2 linked regions of the Tamandua tetradactyla genome follow. The protein of the gene in region 1 interacts with the protein of each later gene in a biochemical or structural test. Links are inferred from orthologs where the notes say so. Each region holds a gene or a part of one and is shown in the gene's direction. Other genes may lie near its edges.

Region 1 (11,183 bases):
CTGGGGCACACGCTCAACCCCTCCACATGGTGGCAACCAGGCTCTCCCAGTCCTCCAAGGAGCGTGCTATGCCTTTTCCAAGACCCGAGGCTGAACAACTAGTCCACTGCAATGAGAGGGGAGACTCATTCTCGCCCTTCAGGGTAAACTCACCCTCTCCCTGTATATGGGTGGGTCCACTCTCCTGGCCAAGGTTTCTTGGCTTCAGACCCGAGCTTCCATGGTTCTCACTCTGCAAACTCCAATTTTTTCCCTTTTGTGTCCTCCTTTGTCAAGATTAGTAGTAGTTCCATTTACACCAACAGTGTCTTCAAACACTCCAGGACTTCTCCATCAATCTCTTCACAGTTCCTCCAAAGTCTTCCCCTTAGCCATCCAAAACATCGTTCCAACAGGTCTGGTATTTGCAAACCGCAGCAGCACCCCACTCTCCGGTACCAACTCTGTTCTAGTTTGCTAGCTGACGAATGCAATACACCAGAGATCGATTGGCTTTTAATAAAAGGGGATTTATTTTGTTGGTTCTTCAGAGGAAAGGCAGCTAACTTTCCACTGAGGTTCTTTCTTACGTGGAAGGCACAAGATGGTCTCTGCTGGTCTTCTCTCCAGGCCCCTGGGTTCCAACAACTTTCCCCGGGGTGACTTCTTTTTGCATCTCCAAAGGCCTGGGCTGAGCTGCTAGTGCTGAGGTGAGGAATGATGAGCTGCTAGGCTGTGCTACGTTGCGTTCTCTCATTTAAGCACCAGCCAATTCAGTCAAACCAGTCACTCATTGCAGCAGACATGCCTCCTAGCCAACTGCAGATATAATTAGCAACAGATGAGGTTCACTTACCATTGGCTTATGTCCTCAGCAACAAGACTAGGTATGCTCACCTGGCCAAATTGACAACTGAATCTAACTAATACACTGGAGAATCACAATCAAGCTTGTTAGATCAGAGAGAGACTAATTTGATATAATCAAAGATGATAGGTTATATTCTTGTCCTCAATAACTTGACCATGGAAGAAAATATTTTTAAATTGGTGAAAAGCCATCCAGAAGTAAGCTTGAAGGAAATGGAAAAACAAAAAAAGGACACTGCAGCATCGAAGAAGGAGATGGAGAAGAAAAATTTAATTCCTGCTTGTTTTCCCCCTATTGCAGAGCTAACATGGAATGTTGACATAGTGCCTTTATTCACAAGCGATGTCTATATCTAGAAACATGAAATCAGTTGACTCTATGAATCAACATAGACATATCTCAAAAATGAACTAAAGTTTCAAAAAATGGCATGTTGCAGGATTACATTTATAGCATGATAATGCAACCATGTACACATACACACAAAGTAACAGTATGTAGAAATATATGTCGACTTATGAAAAGAGGTTACCTTTGGGGAAGTATATAGGAGGACAAACTTGGGATGGCTGTCAAAGGGAATTTTACCTGTAATATTCTATTTTTTAAAAAAAAAGAATGAGTTTTTTTAATTTTACAAAAAAATCCTCAAGATATATAGCAAGGATCATTTTTTACACAACTAGGCCCTGTCGTTTCATTTGTCGACTTTACTTTAAAGAATTATGAGATTGTTAGTAAGAAATAATGAGAAAGATCAGCACGAAGTGAACAAGGTGTTCTAGTTTGCTAGCTGCTGGAATGCAACACACCAGAGATGGACTGGCTTTCAATAAAAGGGGATTTGTTTAGTTAACCTATAGTTCTTCAGAGGAAAGGCAGCTAACTTTCAACTGAGGTTCTTACGTGGGAAGGCACAAGGTGATCTCTGCTGGCCTTCTGTCCAGGCCTCTGGGTTCCAATATCTTTCCCCGGCGTGATTCCTTTCTGCATCTCCAGAGGCCTGGGCTGAGCTTCGAGTACCAAGATGAAGCATGCTGAACTGCTTGGGTTGTGCTATGTTGAGTCTCTCATTTAAGCACCAGCCAATTAAACATCATTATTGCAGCAGGCACGCCTCCTAGCCAGCTGCAGATGTAATGAGCAACAGATGAGGTTCACATGCCATTGGCTCATGTCCAAAGCAACAGAACTAGGTGCCTTCACCTGCCCAAATTGACAACTGAATCTAACTACCACACAAGGTAACGAGCACAATGTCTCCATTTTATAACTTTTATGAGGTTTTCTCAAATAAGACTATTTGTTGTGCTGTGCTTCTGCTTCTGTTGAAATGATATAACATTTTTGCTAGATACATCTTATGGAGAAGACCATTTATGCTAGCTATACCTTATAGAGAAGACCATTTATACTGAGTATTGTTTCAGAAGGGTTAAAATGAAATTTTTTATTAATATGGGTGTATTTCATTACCCTCCTTAAAACGACTAAAAAGAAATGAATTTTTAATGTGTAATTAGTCACTAATTAAAAATACAAAAATAAAGTGAACTGTTGTTTGCAGAAAGAAGACAGAAAGAAAGCTATTATATGCTTGCAACTATCAATATTTTGTGATGCGGCAGATATATATTTTTATAAAACAGCAGCACTGAACCATATATAGCCTGTTTTCCTGTATTGAAATACTCTTTCATATGTGTGTGTATGTGGGCAAACACATAATAAAATATCCAGGATTCACACAACTCTAATTTGTGAAGGGCTTTCAATTTCTTGTTGATAGCAGAGCTTCAGTATAAGTTCATTCTCAATTTGTTAATGCTTGTGACCTACAGGAATGAACTCCCACAGCAGATATAAAGATTCCTTCTTGGTAGATGTAAAGATTTCTTCTAAAGAAGCTAATTTGGAATGATTTAGCCAAAAGCCTATCTCAAGAGACCTTTTGGGGGCCTAATTCCAAATGTACATCGATTCATTGTCAATATTAACTGCCTATCATTTTTAAGGCTCAGGACAGTCTAAATATAGACTGGGAAAAGTCAGAACGTGATACAAAGCATGTTTTGGTTTGCTATAGTTGCTGGAAAGCAATATACCAGAAATGGGTTGGCTTTTACGAGGATATATTAATTTATAATTTATAGTTCTTAGGCCATGAAATGTTCCAATTAGGGCATCAAAGGATGAATACCATCTCTGAGAACAGGCTTATGGCATCTGGACTCCTGTCACATGGGAAGGCACGTAGCCAGCATCTGCTGGTCCTTTGCACCTGGGCTCCAGTGGCTTCCTCTCTCAGCTTCTGTGGGTCCTCTCCTAGCTTCTCCAGGGCTTTTTTCTGTGCACTTCTCTATTTTTTTAAAAACAGTTTTATTCACACACCATACAATGCATCCTAAGTGTACAATCAATGGCTTAGTATAATCACAGTTATGCATTCACCACTAGTCAATATGAGAACATTCTAATTTCTTCCAAAGAAAAAAAATCCCATACCCCTTATATCTCCCTATTATTTAGCTTTGGTATAGTGCCTTTGCTACAATAAATGGAGCAATATTACAATGCTACTGTTAACTATAGAACTTAGCCTATGTTAATTATATATTTTTTCCCATATAACACCCTATTATTGACATCTTGTAATAGGGATACACGTTTGCACTAGTGATGTAAGGACTCTTATGTTTACACAATTAACCACCACCATTGTCCACTCTGGGTTTTGCTAAGTTATACAGTCCCAGTTTTTATCTTGTAGCTTTCCTTCTGGTGGCATACATGACACTAGCCTTCCTCTTTCAGCTATATCCACACTCCACTTTGTTAATTATATTTACAGTATTGTACTACTGTCACACAGAATTGTGTTTTCCATTTTTGAACCTTTACAATGAACATTATTGAACATTCTGTACTCCTTAATCATCAATTACCCAATTTTTGCACACTTTCTATCTCCTGGTAACATATGCTCTCAAATTTCTCAAAATTTGCTCATTATAGTTAGTTCTTATTAATGAGTCCATACACTATTTCTCCTTTTGTTTCTGGCATATTTCTCTCAACATACTTTCCTTAAGATTCATTCACCTCATTGCATGCCTTATGACTTCATTCCTTTCTGAAGCCACACAATATTCCATCATTTCTATACACCAGTTTTCCCTTCCACTCATTAATAAATGGAACCTTGGGTTGCCTCCATCCATTGGCCATTGTGGATGGAGGCCACCATAAACATCAGTGTACAAATGTCTGTTCTCCATCCCTGCTTTCAGTTCTTCTGAGTATATACCTACTAATGGGATTGCAGAATCATATGGCACCCCTATATTTAGCTTCCTGTGGAAACCATGTAGGCTTCTTCTAATTTCATCTCTTTTAGAGGACTCCAATAAGGGGATTAAGACCCACCCTGAATGAGACAAGCCACATTTCAATAGAAATAACCTAATCGAAAGGGCCCACTTACAATAGGTCTGCACCAACAGTAACAGATTAAAAGAACATAACCTTTTCTTGGGGTACATAACAGCTTCAAACTACTACAAAGAGGACGATGATAATGTTATAAGGAATCAATTCTTTGGTGGTTTAGAACCTGGACTCAGAAATCAGTCTCAACTGGGTTTTAATTCCCATTACACCACTTTCTAGCTGTGTTATCCTGTGCAAGCCATGGGCAGATGTGATAATGCCAACTTTATAGAGCTGTCTCGGGTGGGGTGGGGTGGGAAATGAGACCATTAAAAAGGACTTGGTGTAATGCTGGTACATAACAAGCATTCAATTAATGTTAGTTCCTGTTAATTTATTTTCTATTTTTGAGGCCTAATTAAGTTTCACGAGCGCTTCCATAGAGTCATAAAAAATTAGAGATTGAAAAGGCTTTTGAGCTTAATATCTGGTCCTGTTCTAGGAGATGACTTCCACCCCTTTTCCACTGATAGGAAATAAATACCACAATTAACTATTGTAGTTACTGGTGAAATAACAGGAAATTTTTTAAATTAGAGGGAAGGAAGGTCAAGGGAAAGGGAATATAAAGGGGAAGAGGAATGTTAAACAGATTTGTGGGAGATGTGTTGGGAGGATATAAGTGATACAGTGTAAAGGAAGAATATACAGACAAGAAGAATAAGGAAACAGAGAAAGAAAAGAGGCTTCAGACAAGTGTAAGGATAAAAGTGAGAAAGGAAGGGGGAGGGAAGTACAGAGGGACTACATACCGTCGAGGCAGGCACTGACATCGTTTAAGAGTCAAAAGCCCTGGATTCTGATTATTGTAAAATACATGATATGAATAAGTGGCTTAACTTCTCTGGGTTCAGTTTTCCTCCGAGTTTGTACTATAGATTAAATGAGATTAATAGGAGGGACACTTTAAAAAGAGAAAACCCTATTCAAATAAAAGATTAAGAAGGGGAGAGAAAGCGGTAGAAAAGACCAAGAAATAGTTGAAATAAAATAAAGGAGGCAGGGTTGGAGGGGAGGGGTTGGAGAGCGGAGGGGGGAATTGTTGACAAGTCAGGTGAGAACTACGGAAAACCACAGTAACGGCGCTGCCGCTGCTGCTGGGACCTCTCCAACGTTGACAGTTTGCCAGTATTATTTCATGTTAACCTCACAATATCTCTATGGGGATAAGTTTTAGTATTATTCTCGTGTTAAAAAAGAGATATCTGAAGCATAAAGAAGTTAAGAAACTTCCCCAAGAAGGGAAGTGGCTGAGAAGTGATTCAAACGCAGATGTATCTATCTGCAAAGCCAGTGCCATTAACAATTTCCAAGAACCTCGAAAGAGGCTTCGCGCGTCTAAGGCAGACTCTTGTCCTGTTTCTTCCACAAGTTTTCCCCTAGGTTCTGCTCCTGCGCCCAATCACCACTTGCTATGACCCCTTTTCTTTCCAGTTGTTCTGAAAACACCTCTCCCAAAATAGCGTCCCGTCTCTATGGAGATCTGCGTTGGGCGGGACTTCCTGCTTCACGTGAGAGCACTTCCGCCTGGAGGCGGAAGCACCGCGATTGAGAGGACGCACCCCGGCACATGGAAAAATCACGGAGAGTTTGAGGCGCGGCGTGAGAGTGCCCTACACGGGCACCTGCGAGTGGCGTGGCGATGATAACACCCGCTTTCGACCTCAGCCAGGATTCTGACTTCCTGATCGTCGCCATCCGCGTGCCCTATGCTCGCGTCTCCGAGTTCGATGTCTACTTCGAAGGGGCCGATTTTAAGTTCTACGCCAAGCCGTACTATCTCAGGCGAGTTTCGGGTGCCTCCCCTTAGGAATAGTGTATGTGGGGGATTAATTCATTCACCCATTCGAAAATAGCTTATTGAGGGAGGATGGAAGAGCGAGCGAGCTGCAGGACGCGGTTCTGTTTTCAACCAATGCCTTATCCCGGAATTTCCGCAGTTTCTTTCTGTGCTGAGGAGGTGATCTCTTTTAAGGCTTTCATACTCGGTGCTGCAGAAGGTCATTCACTTCTTAAATTCCTACACTGAAGAGACTTAGGAGCCACCTTAAAACCTGGCATTTGGGACTTAGGCCTTTAAAACCTGGCGTTTGGGACTTCTGCCTTTCCATCTTTTGTCCTGTCGCCCTAGTTTTCGTTCCTTTCTGGCTTGTTCTATTACCTTTCGTTTAAGTTACTAATCTATCTAGACAGCCTGTGCTGAGATCCTGGATCATCTCCCGACTCATTGATACGTTTGGCTGCTCAGACCACTTTCTGTTTACCGACTGAAGCGCCCTCCTTCCTGAAATTCCCTCCTTCCTTGGTCCCTGTGACACCCTGTTAGCTTGGTTCACCTGCCTTCTTGCTGTCTGCTACTTCTTTTTTTGGTTTGCCTCTTGTCATGGTTAGGGACACGTGTCAACTTGGCCAAGTTGTGGTACCTGTTTATCTGATTGGGCAAGCGCTGGCCTCTCTGTTGCAATGAGGACATTTCATAGGATTAGGTCATGATCACATCGGCTGCATCCACAGCTGATTCCATTTGTAATCAGCCAAAGGAGAGTGTCTTCTGCAATTAGTGATGCTAAATCTAATCATGGGAAGCCTTTTAAGGAGGACTCAGAGGAGACAGGTCCCATTCCTGCTTTGGCTGGTGAGCCTCTCCTGCAGAGTTCATCCAGGCCATCCATCGGAATCGTCGGCTTGGCAGCCTCCCCTGTGGATTTTGGACTCTGCATTCCTGCGGTCACGTGAAACACTTTTATAAATTTTGTATTTGCAAGTATTCCCTGTTGATTCTGTTTCTCTAGAGAACCCTAACTAATACACCTCTTAAATGTGGTTGTTGTCCCCTAAGACTCAGTAAGGGACTTTCAGCACTTCTGTTTTTCTGCTTGCACAACCATAACAATAACAGCAATAATAGCTAACACTTACTGATCACCTTTAGTGCGGTGGGCAAACTATGAGTTAAGTGCTGTATGCATATTATCTCATTTATCCTTGATGGTGATCCTTGGATATAGGTACTGCTATTACCTCCATTTTACAGAGGACACTGTCAGATTAGTCTTTCTAAAACAATGCCAATCCTTTGTCTTCCCTTTTCCTACTAGGTGAAATCCATTCTCTTAATCTTTCTCATTCAAGTGTAACTCCAGCCTACCTTCCGATCCAAGTACTGTTGTAATACAAACTTTCCGTCCATTCAAGCTGCTTCCTTTACTGTGCCTGAATCGGTTTTGCTCAGATTTCCATTAGACCCTCGCTTACTCTGCCTACTTGAATATACTGTACTTTTCCTATTTTGTTTTTCATCTTTTCCTTCAATTTATTTGTTGAACTCAGAGTATATGGCAGCCCTGTTTTTGGTACTGGGAATATAGTGGCGAACAAGACAGAGTCCTGCCTTCATGTAGTTTACATTCTAGTGGGGAGAAAAAAACAATAAACAAGAAAACATAACTACAAATTGTGGTAAGTGCTATGAATGGAAAGAAGAATATGTACTGATAGAGAATAAAAGAAGCCCATTATTTATATAAAGTGATCAGGGAAACCCTTGCTGAACAGGAGATATTTAAGCCAAGAGATGAATGGGAAGAGGATGGTCGTAGAAAAACATTTATTGAATATTTACTCCAGGCTAGTGCTTTTTGTGAATTATCTCATTTGATTTTGGGACAGTCCTACAAAGTAGGTTCTGTTGTTTACCCATGTTACAGATGTGAAATCAGAGGCTCGGAGAGAAGTTCTTAAGCATAGTCTTTGGTATGATGCAGACTGATTTCCTTTTTCCTGTAAAATAGAGTGGTTAAATGAGATAGGACTGAAAAACAAAACACAAAACCAATAAAATAAAGAATTTAAAATAAAAACCATTTTATAACAGTTTTGTTGGAGACAAAGCAAGAGGATACAAGCGAAGCAGTTTGAAAGAGGACTCTTCACACGTGAGGATTCATTTGTTCCTCAGGTAGCAGAGGCATAGGCATTGGGTACATCTGTGTCTCAGCACACTTACAGTTCTGTTAACTTTGAACAAATTATTCAGCCTCAGTCTCTTAATCTGTAAAATAGGGTTAATATTAAAGATCTTAAGAAATTGATGTGAGAATTGAAATGTGCATATAAAGTGCTTATTACCATGTCTGATAATTGGAACAACAGGCCTTCAATAAAGATTAATACCTCCCATTTGTTGGACAGTTAGTTAATGATCTGTTGCAGCATAACCAGTCACACTTAATGGAATAAAACAACAACAATAATTTTACTCTCAGTCCTGCTGTCGTTGGGTCAGGTTGGGCTGTTCTGGCTTGAGGCCTTCAATGCAGTTATTGTCAGGTCGTTATTCAACCTGGAATAGCAGGAGCAGAAGCTGCTGGTGGCTGATGGGTCTCAGGGCCTCCCTATGTGGTCTCTGCATGTTTGAGTTTGTGCTTCTGCAGGAGAGTTGCAGCACTAACACAGTGGCTAAAGGCTTCGAGGGTGAGTCCTCCAGCGAGCAAGGCAGAACCTACTTAAGTAACCTTTTATGATCTAACCTCAGAAATCATTTTGTGTCACTTCTGATGTGCTATATTGGTCAAAACAGTCCCAGAAACCCACACGGTTACGGAGAGGGTACACAGACCCCACCGTTGGGAAGAACCAAAGTCGTGTTATTGAAGAGAATGTAAGATAGGCCATTTTAAAAAGTACTGTTTGCTACTGTATACAAAAGATAAGTAGAACTTGGTCTCTCTTCTTGAGGAATTGCAAGCCTAGCAAGAGAGACAGATCTGTAAACATTTTTTTCACTTTTATGCAGTAGGTGTTTAAGTCTGTGCATAAAACTTGGGAGAAAGGGATTAAAAATAATAGCTCACATTTTCTGAATCCTCACTTGGTTGTGCCAGCCACTAAGCTCGATCCTTTATCATTTCATTCTCACAGATAGGTACTGTTATTCCTATCTCTTTACTAGTGTTCTAGTTTGCTAGCTTCCAGAATGCAATATACCAGAAACAGAATGGCTTTTAAAAAGGGGAATTTAATAAGTTGCTAGTTTACATACAGTTCTAAGGCCGAGAAAATGTTTCAATTAAATCAAGTCTATAGAAATGTCCAATCTAAGGCATCCAGGGAAAGATACCTTGGTTCAGGAAGGCCAGTGAAGTTCAGGGTTTCTCACTCAAGTGAGAAGGCACATGGCAAACACAGTCAGGGCTTCTCTCTCAGCTGGAAGGGCACATGGCAAACACGGCGCCATCTGCTAGCTTTCTCTCCTGGCTTCTTGTTTCATGAAGCTCCCCGGGAGGCGTTTTCCTTCTTCATCTCCAAAGGTCACTGGCTGGTGGACTCTCTGCTTCGTGGTGCTGCAGCATTCTCTGCTCTCTCCGAATCTCTCATTCTCCAAAATGTTTCCTCTTATAGGACTTCAGAAACTAATCAAGACCCACCCAAATGGGTGGAGACACATCCCCCCCAATCCATTTTAACAACTGCTCTTGATTGGAATACATCTCCAGGAGATTATCTAATTACAGATTCAAACATACGGTATTGAATAGGGATTATTCTGCCATTACAAAATGGGATTTTGAATAAAACATGGCTTTTCTAAGGGACACACATCCTTTCAAACCAGCACAACTAGTAAGGAATATGAATCTTGAAGCAGTTAATTAACTTGTCCAGAGAAAGTTATACTGCTGGTCAATGATAAGGCTGGGACTCAATCCAGATTTCTTGACACTAAAGTTAGTGCTTGGAACCATCATAAACTAATTTAATTCATAAAATGATTCTTTGTGCTGTCTTAGAAGTGGGTCTTGGTTTAGAAAATGCACTGTAGCTTGAGGAAACATTGGTGTCAAAAGCAGCTAAGGTGGGAAGCCGTGGACCTTTTAGGGTCTACCAAGATTTTTATATTGTTGAGGTAGGAAGCAAGGAGGAGGAGTTTGGGAGGTGGAGAGGCTAAAAATTTAAGTTTAGAATGGAATAGAGTGGAGCTGATATACCATCTGATGAGTTTGAGTTACCAGGTCAACATCAAGCAGCGATAGAAGCTTTTCCAGATAGAAAAGTGCCAATAAGATTTGTGTTTTAAAAAAATTCGTTTGGGGCCTCAGTAGAAGACTGATTGAACCAAAGTAAAACTGGAAGCAGGGAAATCACTTCATTTCCTGTGATATGAAAGAGGGGGAAATCCCCGTATGTCATAATGATAACTGGGAGAAACACCTTTGCTTTCTGCCTTTTTTTTTTTTTAAGTAATAATTTGCCTGATATAAGTAATTGGTTTTGTTACTTCGTTATTGTTTCCCTTTTTGGGGCTCTTTAAAAAAAATATTTTACACATTAGTAAATTTGTATTGAGCACCTATTATGTCAGGCACCAGGTATATAAATAACTCATTTGTAAGGAAAGGGAATGTACTGAAACAATAGTGAGAACTAATATTTATTGTGTTTTTTCTTTTTAAGCATCTGTTTTATTGGTGACTAGAGGGTATTCGCATACAAAGATGAATCATCTCTGGTTTCTATTTTCCCAGATGGGGAAAGAATCTCAGTTACTGAAGTTTGTAAAGTGTGAAAGGAAGCTTAGGAACCTCCTTTTTAAAATGGTTGATAGAATTTGATGTGTAACAGTGTACTATCATTGATGATCAGTTCTGCTCCTTTGTAATTTAAGGACTTCATGAGAACTTTGTATTAAATTTGCAGATTAACCCTTCCTGGAAGAATTGTAGAGAATGGAAGTGAGCAAGGGTCCTATGATGCAGATAAAGGTATTACCTTTGGAATTTTTGTTGCTTTTTTCTTTCAATCCTTCATGTAAGAGTAACTATATAATAAGTGCCAAACTATTCAA
Region 2 (11,835 bases), on another chromosome or scaffold:
AAAGGTCTCTGGCTATGAGGGCTCTCCTAGTTTTCATGGCTCTCTTTCTCTCTCCAAAATGCTTCCTATTTTAAAGGATTCCAGTAATCTAATCAAGACCCACCTGGAAAGGGTGGAGTCACATCTCCCTCTAATCCAAGGTTAATACCCACTATTGGGTGAATCATATCTCCATGGAAATAATCTAATCAACTTTCCAACCTACAGTGCTGAACAGGAATTAAAGAAAGGACTGCCTCCACAAGATGGATCAGGATTAAAACACGGCTTTTCCAGGGTACATAATCCTTTCAAACTGGCACAGATTGTTTGTGATATCTCCATAGAAATCTAAACTGAGAATGCCTGTGGATTACTATAATCTAAATCAAGAGGTTTTTCTAATTTCTGATGCACTTCCAAATGTGGTCTCTCTTTTTTTTTTGGCATGGGCAGGCTCCAGATGTGGTCTTTTTGTTATGGCAATTCCACAACTCTCACAACATTTTGTAGGGACCTATTGATCTGGCCAATGATGAAATGACCTCTTGAAGATTCTATTATATTGATAGTTTGGATGCAATAACTTCTGAGGTTGGAGTGCTATTTGGAACATACACTGAACCACAGACCATTAAATGGTGTCGTTTTTCTCATGGCCAGAATAGAAGGGGTCTGGAAAACAAAGAATTCAAGTGGGGAATGGCATATCTCAGAGGTATAACTGAATGGCCTGCTACACCAGTTTGAAGGTATTATGTATCCCAGAAAAGCCATGTTTTAATCCTGATCCAATCTTGTTGGAGCAGTTGTTTCTTTTAATCCTGATTCAACACTGTAGGTTGGAATCTTTTGATTAGATTATATCCACGGAGATGTGATGTGCCCAATTGTGGGTGTGACCTTTTGATTAGATAGAGATGTGACTCCACCTATTCCAGGTGGGTCTTGATTAGTTTACTAGATCTTTTAAAAGAGGAAACATTTGGGAGAGAGCTGGAGATTCTGAGAGAGCAGAGAATGACGAGAGCCATGAGGAGAATCCATGCAGCCAGAGACAACAGAGCTGACAGAAGCTTCAGAGCTGAGCTAACAGAGGAGAGCGAACAGAGAGAGCAGATGTAGATACTTGAAGAACAGTTGCTTTAGAGAACAGAGACATGGTGTTTGGAGATGCTTGGAGCCCAGAAGACATTACCATGAGATGTTAAGCAAGCCAGAACCTGGAGAGAGCCAAGGGAAACCAAAGGATGAAAGCCAGCCCCAGAGAAGCAAAGTTACGAACCCCCACAGGAACAGAGGCTGAAAGCAACCGACCCAGGAGCAAGGGATCGGCAAATGCCAGCCACGTGACTTCCCAGCTGCTAGAGCTGTTCCAAATGCATTGGCCTTTCTTGAATTAAGGTATCTTTCCCTGGATGCCTTTCTTTGGACACTTTCATAGGCTTAGAACTGTAAACCTGTAACTTACTAAATTCCGTTTTAAAAGCCATTCCAGTTCTGGTATATTGCATTCTGGCAACTTGTAAACTAAGACCTGCTTTTCAGAATAGTTTCTTATACCTAAGACACTGGGCCCTGCTGATTCTAGTACCAGCAGAATTCTGAGTGCCATTTGGCCATTTCAGGCTCCTTATGCCATTACCCAACCCTGCCCCCTCCAGCAGACTTCCAGTTATGACCCTTTAGCCACAACTATGTCACACGGTCACTGTGACTGCAAGGATCTGACAAAAGGAAGGGTTTACCATGACTGGGCTAAACCATTTAGGATTCATCCCTGATTCTGGGTTTAGTGCCAACCTGCACAAAATGGGTAACTGCTAGAAAGGGAGAAAGGGAAAGAAATGGCTGTTGGGTCACCAACTAACAGAGCTTACCATGTGTGACCAGTGAAACATTGTAAAGAACAGTCATAGCCCTATAGAACCTGAGGGCAGAAGAGCAGGTGAGGAACTAAAAGGCATCTATTAAGGGACACTATATGACGATTTTACAGGGAAAGCATATTTGAAGGTATTGTTTTAAATTTACTTCTTTAAAAAAATGTAATTTTCTGGGCGGTGTGATGGTGGCTCAGTGAAAGAATTCTTGCCTGCCACGCTGGAGACCCGGGTTCGATTCCTGGTGCCTGCCCATGCAAAAAAACAAAAAAAAAGTAATTTTCTGTTTTTATCGCCCCAGTCCTTCACTAAAGTCTCATATAATGATATATCTTTGTTTGGTGGTTATGTGCTTTGAAGCTGTATGTACCCCAGAAAGAGATGTTCTTAAATCTAATCTATTTCTCTGGTTGAACCCATTGTACGTAGGATCCTTTGATCAGGCTACTTTAGTTAGGTGTGACCCACCTCATTCAGGATGGATCTTAATCCTCTTATTGGAGTCCTTTATAAATGGAATGATATAGAAACAGGAAGCTGAAAGTAATGAAACCCTGAAGAGAAGGGAGAGACCAGCAGATGCCGCCCTGTCCCTTGTCATGTGGCAGAGGAGCCAAGGATTGCTGGCAGCCAGTGTTTGGGAAGAAAGCATTGCTTTGATCATGCCTTGATTTGTACATTTTCTTCATCTCAAGCTGTGAGCTAATAAATTCCTGTTAATTAAATCAATCCATCTCATGGCATCTGCTTTGAGTAGCCTAGCAAACTAAAACAGTGGTGTGGAAGAAAGGAGTAAGTGATGAGCCATAAGCAATTTTGAGGCTAACCTTCAATGTTCACTCATCCATTCACATGCTCATTCTCATTCTCTCCAACCCTCCCCCGCATATATACATATACCGTTAAGACAGCAAGAGTCAGTTTCTTTCACTTGCAAATGAAACATTTCTAACTGACTCTGGACTTAGTACTGTAAGTAAAGCCTCCCATGTGATAATTCTCAGAGAAGTGTAGGACTTTTGTTTTGGTTGTCTGGCCAGATGTGGTGAAAAGACAATCAGAATCCTATTAATAATCTGGACTGGGAATCTACTAGCCTACAGCATGTTACTAACAAATCAGGTACTAATTGTTTGTCATCACTTAAACCTATCCATCGCTGTGAAATGTCTGGGATAATTCCCTTGCAGGCTTCTTGGTCTAGGCATCACCTCTACATAAACCTCCACTGTAGATCCTGACCCTCCTATAAAATTCCATTTTTTCCTGGTGGGTCAAACACTTTCAAATTACAATTGCATTAATATTGTCTAGATATTTCCTGTTACATATTAGTATTCTACTACTCTTTTGATATGCAGGCTTACTCCTACTACATTTGTCTTTGTAATTGTTCCCTTAGTGAATGTAGAGATGAATTGTAGTCATAGGTCTTTAGATATTGGGGTGGGGTGGGGGTTAGAGGAATGTGAATATCTGGTGGCAGGGCATGCAAGGCAGAAAGAAGAGCAGGTACAAAAGCCCAGAAAGTGGGGAGTGTGCCTGGAATAGACATGAACAGCCAAAAGACCAACGTGGGGGTACGAGTAGCCAGACCTGAATTCAGAAAGAGAACTGGGGGCACATTCTGTCAGCTATTATTGGGACTTTGACTTTTACTCTTGGTGAAATGTGGAGCTTTGAGCAGAGGAAGAATATGACTTAAGTTTATTGACTCTTTTGGGCTGCTGCATTGAGAAGACACAGTAGGTTGGAAAGGCAGAAATGGGGGGACCTGTCAGGAGGCCACTGGAAAAATCTCAGAGAGCCACAATGTCAGCAGGGGCCTTAGTGACAGCAGCGAGGGTGGTGAAAAGCGGTCTGATTCTGGGCTTGCTAACAGACTGAATGAGGAGTGTGCAACAAAGAGAGGAATGGAGGATGACTCTGACACTATTTTGTCTGTGCAACTGCAAGAATGGAGCTACTACTTACTGAGATGAAGAAACCCAGAGGAGAACTAGGTTTGGGTAGAGTATCAGGAGCCCAGTTACGGACACTTCATGTTTGAGGTGCCTTTTAGATATCCAGATGAAGATATTGAACAAGAGGCCAAATAGACACGTTTGGAGATTAGGGAAGAGGTCTGGGCTGGGGATCTGATTTGGTGAGTCATTGCCATTTAAAGACATGGGCCTCGATGAGATCACCAACACAGCAAGGTACAGCTAAAGGAAAGGGCCAAGGAATAAGCCTTGGTGCACTCTGACATTAAACGCTTGGGGTGACAAGGAGGAGTCAGGGAAGGTGCTTGAGATGGAGTGGCCAGTGAGGTCAAAGGGGAACCAAGAGAGTAGGATGTCCTGGAAGCCAAGGGAAGCAAGTGTCCAAAGGGACCAATGGACATGTAAAATGTTGCTGGAAGCAGCCATCTCCATCTGCAGGGGGTTGTTAGGGAAGTCACTGATACCTGTTAAGTGACCTCAGCCCCAGCCTCACCTATCCTCACCTCCCTCTCTGGGAAAGTCAGGAACACACTTTAAGTAGCCATTGTACCTATGGGCTTCTGCTCCCTCCACTTCCTTTTTCACTGTGTGACATTCTAGAACCTAGTCAGACTTAACACCCAGAAACTGGGAACCAGCAGCTCCAGATGCCCGTCAGAATAGGAATTCTCAGTGGCAAGCCCCCTCCTCCTGAGGTGAATAAAACCCACATTCAAACAGTACAAGTGGGTCTCTCTTCTCTGGCATGAAGTGGGGCATGTGGGACAGCCATCTGTCAACACCTACCTGGAACAGCTTTTGGCCACCCAGAGGGGACTGGCTGTGAGGGGACTTCTTCCCCTGCTCATAGACTCTTTGTGCTGTGAAAACAAGGAGACTATTCACCCTTTCTGGACTCTTTATTCTGTGCAAGTAATAAAGGGATCATTTGCTGAAAGTTTCTCTTAGGCCCTGAACCTGTGTTCCCATGACAAGCAGTTGAGGCAAGGTGCTCCCTAGCGACAGCAGTGGAAGTGAAGGCTGTGAAGAACTGAGGGAAAAAAAGGACCTGTAGGTGTCCCTGCTTGTAACTTGTCCCCCAAGCTCCTAAAATGAAGCCAGGTGAACCAGAGATGGAAGGGCTTCACCACCACTAACTACCCACCTGCATGGGTAGATTACACCCTTAGTCCAGGGGCCCATGAGTTGGGAAACCCCCTTCCTGCAGCTCCAGAGTGTGTAAGTCACAGAAGAGGCAGCTCTGAAGCTGCTGAGTGAGAATGGAAATGTTGATTATTGGATAAGATCAACCCCTCTAGCAGGCAGATAACCATCCGGACAAGGACAAGGACAAGAGCTCCATTGCATTTCTGGCCGGGTCCATGTGGGCCCTGCCTTAACCCCTATAAGTTCCCTGCTGAGGACTTAGTGCCTCTGGCAGTTCACCTGCTCTCCACTTGGTGGAATGCAATATTATCTTGAACTTGCGATCTCTGAACCACAGGCCCCTGTGATGGCAGCAATCTTTAACTCATGCCCGCAGGGCGGGAGGGTGGAGGTACATTTTTGAACAGGCTCTAACTAAGAGATCATTCTCTAGGATTGTGTTCTTACAGCATAACCTCTCACCTTTTCATCCTAATCGCTAGACTCTCCAGCAACTCCAAACTACATCCCCTCCACAGACTCCTCCTAATACTGTAAACTTTCGACAGCTTGGCTGGGGGTGGGGTGGGGGGAGCGAGGTCACCTCCCCAGGTAATGTAACCCCACTTTGGTAGAGAGGCAGAAGTTGATGATACGGGAAACAGAAAGGGGAATTGCTGGAGCAATGTACTGAGTAAGCAAAAGGGCTTGGGATCTGGGTGAAATGGAGGGGCTGGCCTGAGTTAAGGGCATGGGTGTTTCATTCATTCAGGGATAAGGGAGGAAAGGCAAAATATCTTTGGTAACTGGTGGGTGGGTTGTTAGATAGATATGGTAGAAAAGCCTGCGTGGAGATCCTCTTGTGATTGCTTTCGTTCTTAATAGAGCCAGGTCATCATCAGTTGAGTGCCAGGTGTGTTGGCGGTTGGAGGAACAGGTGAGGAGCGCCTCATGGGAGAGTGCGGCGTCAGCAGGAGCGCCAGGTAGCGCTGAGGGCTGGGCTGCCGCCTGAGACTGTCTGCGCGACGGGACTTGTAGCTTCCGCAGCAGGGTGCTAGGGTGCGGGCAGGATAGGTGGACAGCTGAGTTTAGCAGCTTGTGGCTTTGACACAGCACCCCTCGCAGTACACCGAGACCACCCGCTACGGGCCTGGTCCGAATTAAGGGGGTGCCGTAAGGGATTCGAAGACTTGATACGGGGGAAGAAAATAAAGGATGTAAAATACCTTATTCTAATGTTTCGCACCGACTACACGCTGAAGTGGTAATATTCCGGATACACTGGGTTAAGTGCGACGCATTATTAAAATGACTGTCACTTGTTTCTGTTCCCGGGCCCCCACGCGGCTCGCATTCTCTTCAGCGCCGCTCGGGGCCGACGGTCAAGTGAGGCGCGGGGGCCTCACCGCCTCTCTGCTTATTTCCTTATTTTGTAACGGGGGCTGTGGGCCCGAGGAAGCGGTGAGGTAATATTGACAGAGCGTCTCGCACACAGCCCAGGGGCGGCCGCGCGGGCTGGACCGAGCGAGGGGGGCGCAGAGGTCGAGCCCACAGGCTCCGGGCCGCCCCGGGCGCGCCTCCCTAAGCGCCCCCCGGCCCGGGCCGTGGAAGGAGGGGCGAGGCCCGAGGCGCCCGCGCGCACGCGCCGCCCGCAGGGGCCGAATTGGCCAATGGGACCGCTCAGGCGGTCTGCACGCGTCCAGGGCCCCGCCCCGCCCCTCGGCGCTGCACGTAAGGGACGGCGCGCGGGTGGGTGGGCCCTGTCGGCGCGGACTGACGAGACCCGGTCGGCGGGACTCGGCGGTCGTTACCTCCGCGATAGCCCGGGCGGCGCGCACGTTGTGCGGGGAAACATGGCGGACGCCGAAGGTAAGGGCTGCGGACGGCCGGGCCGGGGTCTCCGGGGTCAGAGGGAACTCTGCGGACTCGGAGAGCCGGGGGAGCGGCGTCGGTGACTCACTGCCGGGGACCCACTCCCGGGCCTCTTGCGGGCCTCGCCTCCCGCTCCGCACGTTGCTTCACCTGCGGGGAGAGCGCAGGACCTAGAGGCCCTTTCGGTGACGTGACCCTGCGGGGCCCGGGCCCCCCGCTAACGGGAAGACCTCCTTAGGGCACTTGGTTGCAAACAGAAGATGTGCTGGCCGCACCCAGGTTCGGGCGCCGCGGGATGCGGGCTGGAGGGGGGTGGACGGGTGGGGAAGAAAGGGGCCGGAGGGCTTTGGGCGCGAGGCCAGCTCCCAGGTGCAAGAAAGTCCCCGAGACTACAAGCTGGCAGGGCTAGCCCAATGGACGCTTTGGAAGTTTCGGGACAGCGAGCGCTCCTCTGCGATTTTTAAGCCCCGCCATGGCCACGTGGTGACCCGGAAGGGGCCCCAACACGTGCGACAGCCGCCAGCTAGTTACCAACCCATGCGGAGTACCATGGTATAGCTTTTGTCCTCAGCACTACTCTTAGATGGAAAATCTGTATTCGCCTGCCCCGATTTCCACTTTTTCGTTTTAAACTTGGATGTCTTTATTTTCGGGGGAAACTTCCAAATCTCGTGTATCTTTTTTAGTAGTTATTTTGCCAAAGAAGCATAAGAAGAAGAAGGACCGAAAGTCAGCACCAGAAGATGTAGCTGTGAGTAGGAATATGTGTTATTTTGGTTAAACTAAAATTTTACTTAACTAACAAACTCAAGAACTGTTTTTCAAATATCTAAGAGATGGGCCAGAATTGGATGCTCTTTGCATAGAAATCCCAAGGGACTGAAAATGAGAATGCCCCCCCCCCCCTTAGCCACCCTAAGTTTCATGCTGGTTTACTAACTGCAGTTGGCTATACCAGATTATCTCCCTATCACTCTTTCTTCCCAACTCCACCCACACACCCTTCATCTCCTGTTTTCTTTAAACATTTGGACCTATCTTAGTGATACTTCATTTCTTTTTCGGAGTTTCTGCTTCTTCTCTTTCTTTCTCCCTTGGAGGCCCCAGTGAAGAAGTATAGAATGCCTTGCTTTCTATTTAAAAGGCGTATACTTCTGTACTAGTAATGGAATTTCTAAAGATCAGGTGAGAGATGTAACAGTGTGTGTTTCTGTTCTGTCAAAGGAAATTCAACACGTAGAAGAATTTCTTATCAAACCTGAATCCAAAGTGGCTCAGTTGGACACATCTCAGTGGCCCCTGCTGTTGAAGGTACGTGGTCAAGATCAGGCATATGGGCTTTGTTACACAGCAAAATAAAGGTATAAGTATGTTACGAAACCAACACTTGGCTACTTCCCGTGATCTCATACATACTTTTATCTTCTCCATGTGGCCATTGCGTGTCCTTGAGCCCCTGTCTGTACCACTTTCTGTACCATCAGTCTTCTCCACTGCGTTTCATTTCTTGAAAGCAAAAATGCTTACTCTTTGACTTCTAGGGAATGCAAAACGATTTAGTTTAAGGCAGTGCTCCTCCAGGTATCTAAGATAATGGACCAGATTTTTTTTTTGAATTTCCAGTATACTGAGTACTCTTCTAGAATATAATTAAAATATCACAGCAATGTTAAACTCCTATCACAGTTTCTAAATACTTACCTGTAACTTTCTCTACTTAATCCATCTTAAGGACCTACAACACTTTGTGGACCACACTTTGAATAACATTACTCTTGTATTTAAGAGCACAAGAGCAATGAGTCAGTCAGGCTGTGTGACCTTGGACTAGTCATTTAATCTCTTCTGCTCACAATAATTATTTTAGGAAGATTTGCTGAGGATTACAGGAGGTAATGCATGAAATATGTTTATCTCCAGTGCCTGGCAACTAGTGTGTCCTGTAGAAAGTATTGTCTATTAATTAGTTTTAAATAGGGTAGTTCAGTCAATTTCTGCTTGGCTAGATGTTTCTGCTATTTAGACAACATCTGCTTCTCTTTTGTAGGCCCCCTGAGAATATGTTGGTGAAGGTGATAGGCACAGTCCTCTATTGGGGAACTTAAAATTGAGGGTGTGGGAGTTACACAAGAAATAATTCTATTTGTGATAAGTACCATGATGAAACCAAATTGGATAATGTGAAAGATGGGCTTGGATTGGAGTCAGGTAGTTCAGCTAGGGTGATCTGTGAAGAGCAGAGGTAAGAGCATCTGAAGCAGGGACAGGATGGTTATTACTGGAAACATTATTGCCAATAATCCTAAATTTGGTTATTCCTACCCACCTCCCAAGAAGGTCAAAGTTCCTCTGTATTTTATCCATAAGTTTGCCCAGTCTATGTTCTGTACCCACGGAGTACTGACCACTTTCTAGAGCAATATATTAAATTTTGAGTTATCAGCTCTACCTTGTTCTTACTAACGTGGGTCATTTTTCCTGTATTTAAGAAGGCTTAACAGTCTGCCATGGCAGATGATGAAAAACAAAGAACAAAAATTCAAGTTATGAACTTTGAGGGTTATATCGTGGTTGCTTGCTGGTGCTGACTTTCCGTTTTATACGTGTTAATGGTTCCAAAACAAGAACTATAGAACCATGAAGTTTATTTTGTGTTGTATTGTTGCTTTCTAGAATTTTGATAAGCTGAATGTAAGGACAACACACTATACACCTCTTCCTTCTGGTTCAAATCCTCTGAAGAGGGAGATTGCGGACTATATCAGGTATCTGTATCTGGGGCAAGCACTGTTCGAACTCTTGTTCCTTTAGAAATGTTATTTTTATATCAGTTCTTTAAGTAGGTAGTTGTACCTTTGAATGGCATTCCCCTTAATATATAGTGTACCTGTGATGATTTCTATTTTATCCTTCAAAAGTTTTGTTTTGTACTGAATGAAGCTGCATGTGAGGTATAGGTTTTTTTTTTTCTTTTTCTTTCTATTATCATTTTAATTCTTATTCTGTTGTCTTTTTATTTCTTTTTCTAAATCGATGCAAATGTACTAAGAAATGATGAATATGCAACTATGTGATGATATTAAGAATTACTGATTGTACATGTAGAATGGAATGATTTCTAATTGTTTTGTTATTTCTTTTTTTAATTAATAAAAAAAAGTTTTGTTTTGTTATAAGATATATATATATATATTTTTAATTCCCCATTCTAGGACAGGTTTCATTAACCTCGACAAACCCTCCAACCCCTCTTCCCATGAGGTGGTAGCCTGGATCCGACGAATACTTCGGGTTGAGAAGACAGGACACAGTGGTACTTTGGATCCCAAGGTGACTGGCTGTCTAATTGTGTGCATAGAACGAGCCACTCGCTTGGTAAAATCACAACAGAGTGCAGGTATGTGCAAGAGGGAGGGAGGTGGTGAGTACTTTACTACGTTTCCCTTTCTGGCTTCATTTTGGCTCTTGGGAATTATTTCTTCATTAAGAAAAAATATTCCTAAAGCAAAATGTTCTATTGGTTTCTGTGTACATTCTGTTCTTTGCCAGATCTGCATGGGTCTGCCCTTTCTTGGAGTTCCAGGTACTACACATGTACATCAAGCTGGGGAGATACATTCCTGGCATTAAGTCAGAACTCTAGAAGGTCTTTCTGAGAGTACCTTTTGCCTTATTCTAGCCTCTTTCTCCATGCTGCTGCTTCTGTCTAAAGTGCCTTTATTTAATCATTTTTTAGTTAAAAAATAGGAACATGAGGTCAAATTGCCTGCTTTTCTAGCAGCACAAAATGGAAATGGCTTGAGAATATATAAATACAGAAAACTTAGTGGCCACACCTGACTACTCTTCTGTCATTTTTCAGGCAAAGAGTATGTTGGAATTGTCCGGCTGCACAATGCTATTGAAGGGGGGACCCAACTTTCTAGGGTAAGTGCATTGCTAGGGAGGGCACCCTTTGGCCATTTGGGTCTTTCAAGCCCATGAACATTTGGCCTCTTTTTCACATAGGTTTCTTACACCTTTTTCAATGAGCTGCCCTAACCAGCCTGTGTGGGTGGCTGCAGGTGGCAGAGGAATTTTCTGGCTATGTCCTTTCTGAGGAGGGGGTTTTCGATCAGCACTGAATTATCCCTGTATATTAGAAATAAGGAAGCAGAAATGGAAAAGGCATTTTAGATCCTAAATGATTGAAAGAAACCTTTTGTGTTTTAATTGTGTCCTCAAACTCTGAAAATACCCTCTTTGGTCTTAATTGAAAGTTTGTGTGATGAGAATCTTTATTTAGTTTTGTGTTCATTTTCAGGCCCTAGAAACTCTGACAGGTGCCCTCTTCCAGCGACCCCCACTTATTGCCGCAGTAAAGAGGCAGCTCCGAGTCCGGACCATCTATGAGAGCAAAATGATAGAGTACGATCCTGAAAGAAGATTAGGTAGGTCATTAGGTTTGTGATGAACCAAATCAACATAGACCACAAGTGAGTAGGAATGCATTCTTGAGAATTATATTCTGTTTTTAAAAGTAGATGTTATTAGCTTATTGTGTAGTTGTATCCTGTGTCTGTTGTCTCTGAACTCGATGGCTCAGATGGCGAATAACTTTGGGTTTCTCAACTAGTGATTTAATGAAATAATATGTACTTTCTTTTGTGTGTGTGTGTTTTAGGAATCTTTTGGGTAAGTTGTGAGGCTGGCACCTATATTCGGACGCTGTGTGTGCACCTTGGTTTGTTATTGGGAGTTGGAGGTCAGATGCAGGAACTTCGGAGGGTTCGTTCTGGAGTTATGAGTGAAAAGGTATGCTTTTATGCTGCTACAAGTTTTAGAGCTGATTGTAATCTATCTTTCAGCCCTTCAGTAAACTTTACTTGCTTAACATTCTGAACAGGGCAATTTCCAAAGTGTTGAGTTCAGTTCAGGGCACTTTCCCTGTTCTGTTAATTAAACTTTGGGAGATTGAAATGGGCTAGGGTAAGTGGTTGGATAGAAAAGTA

The links.
Region 2: the proteins of SHQ1 (region 1) and DKC1 are reported together in a solved structure, tested with the Homo sapiens proteins (2 studies listed by BioGRID, with this or other methods). The link is inferred for Tamandua tetradactyla from reciprocal best matches to the Homo sapiens genes SHQ1 and DKC1.

Annotation. Positions count from the first base shown.
Region 1 is NC_135341.1:10,923,352-10,934,534, forward strand, and holds the start of SHQ1 (protein SHQ1 homolog), read left to right. Parts: upstream 1-5,587; 5' UTR 5,588-5,981; coding exon 5,982-6,124; intron 6,125-11,035; coding exon 11,036-11,100; intron 11,101-11,183. UniProt on the Homo sapiens protein: Required for the quantitative accumulation of H/ACA ribonucleoproteins (RNPs), including telomerase, probably through the stabilization of DKC1, from the time of its synthesis until its association with NOP10, NHP2, and NAF1 at the nascent H/ACA RNA.
Region 2 is NC_135353.1:1,659,081-1,670,915, reverse strand, and holds the start of DKC1 (H/ACA ribonucleoprotein complex subunit DKC1), read left to right. Parts: upstream 1-6,720; 5' UTR 6,721-6,825; coding exon 6,826-6,841; intron 6,842-7,530; coding exon 7,531-7,595; intron 7,596-8,068; coding exon 8,069-8,155; intron 8,156-9,517; coding exon 9,518-9,609; intron 9,610-10,056; coding exon 10,057-10,241; intron 10,242-10,706; coding exon 10,707-10,771; intron 10,772-11,147; coding exon 11,148-11,274; intron 11,275-11,507; coding exon 11,508-11,638; intron 11,639-11,735; exon of another isoform or gene 11,736-11,835.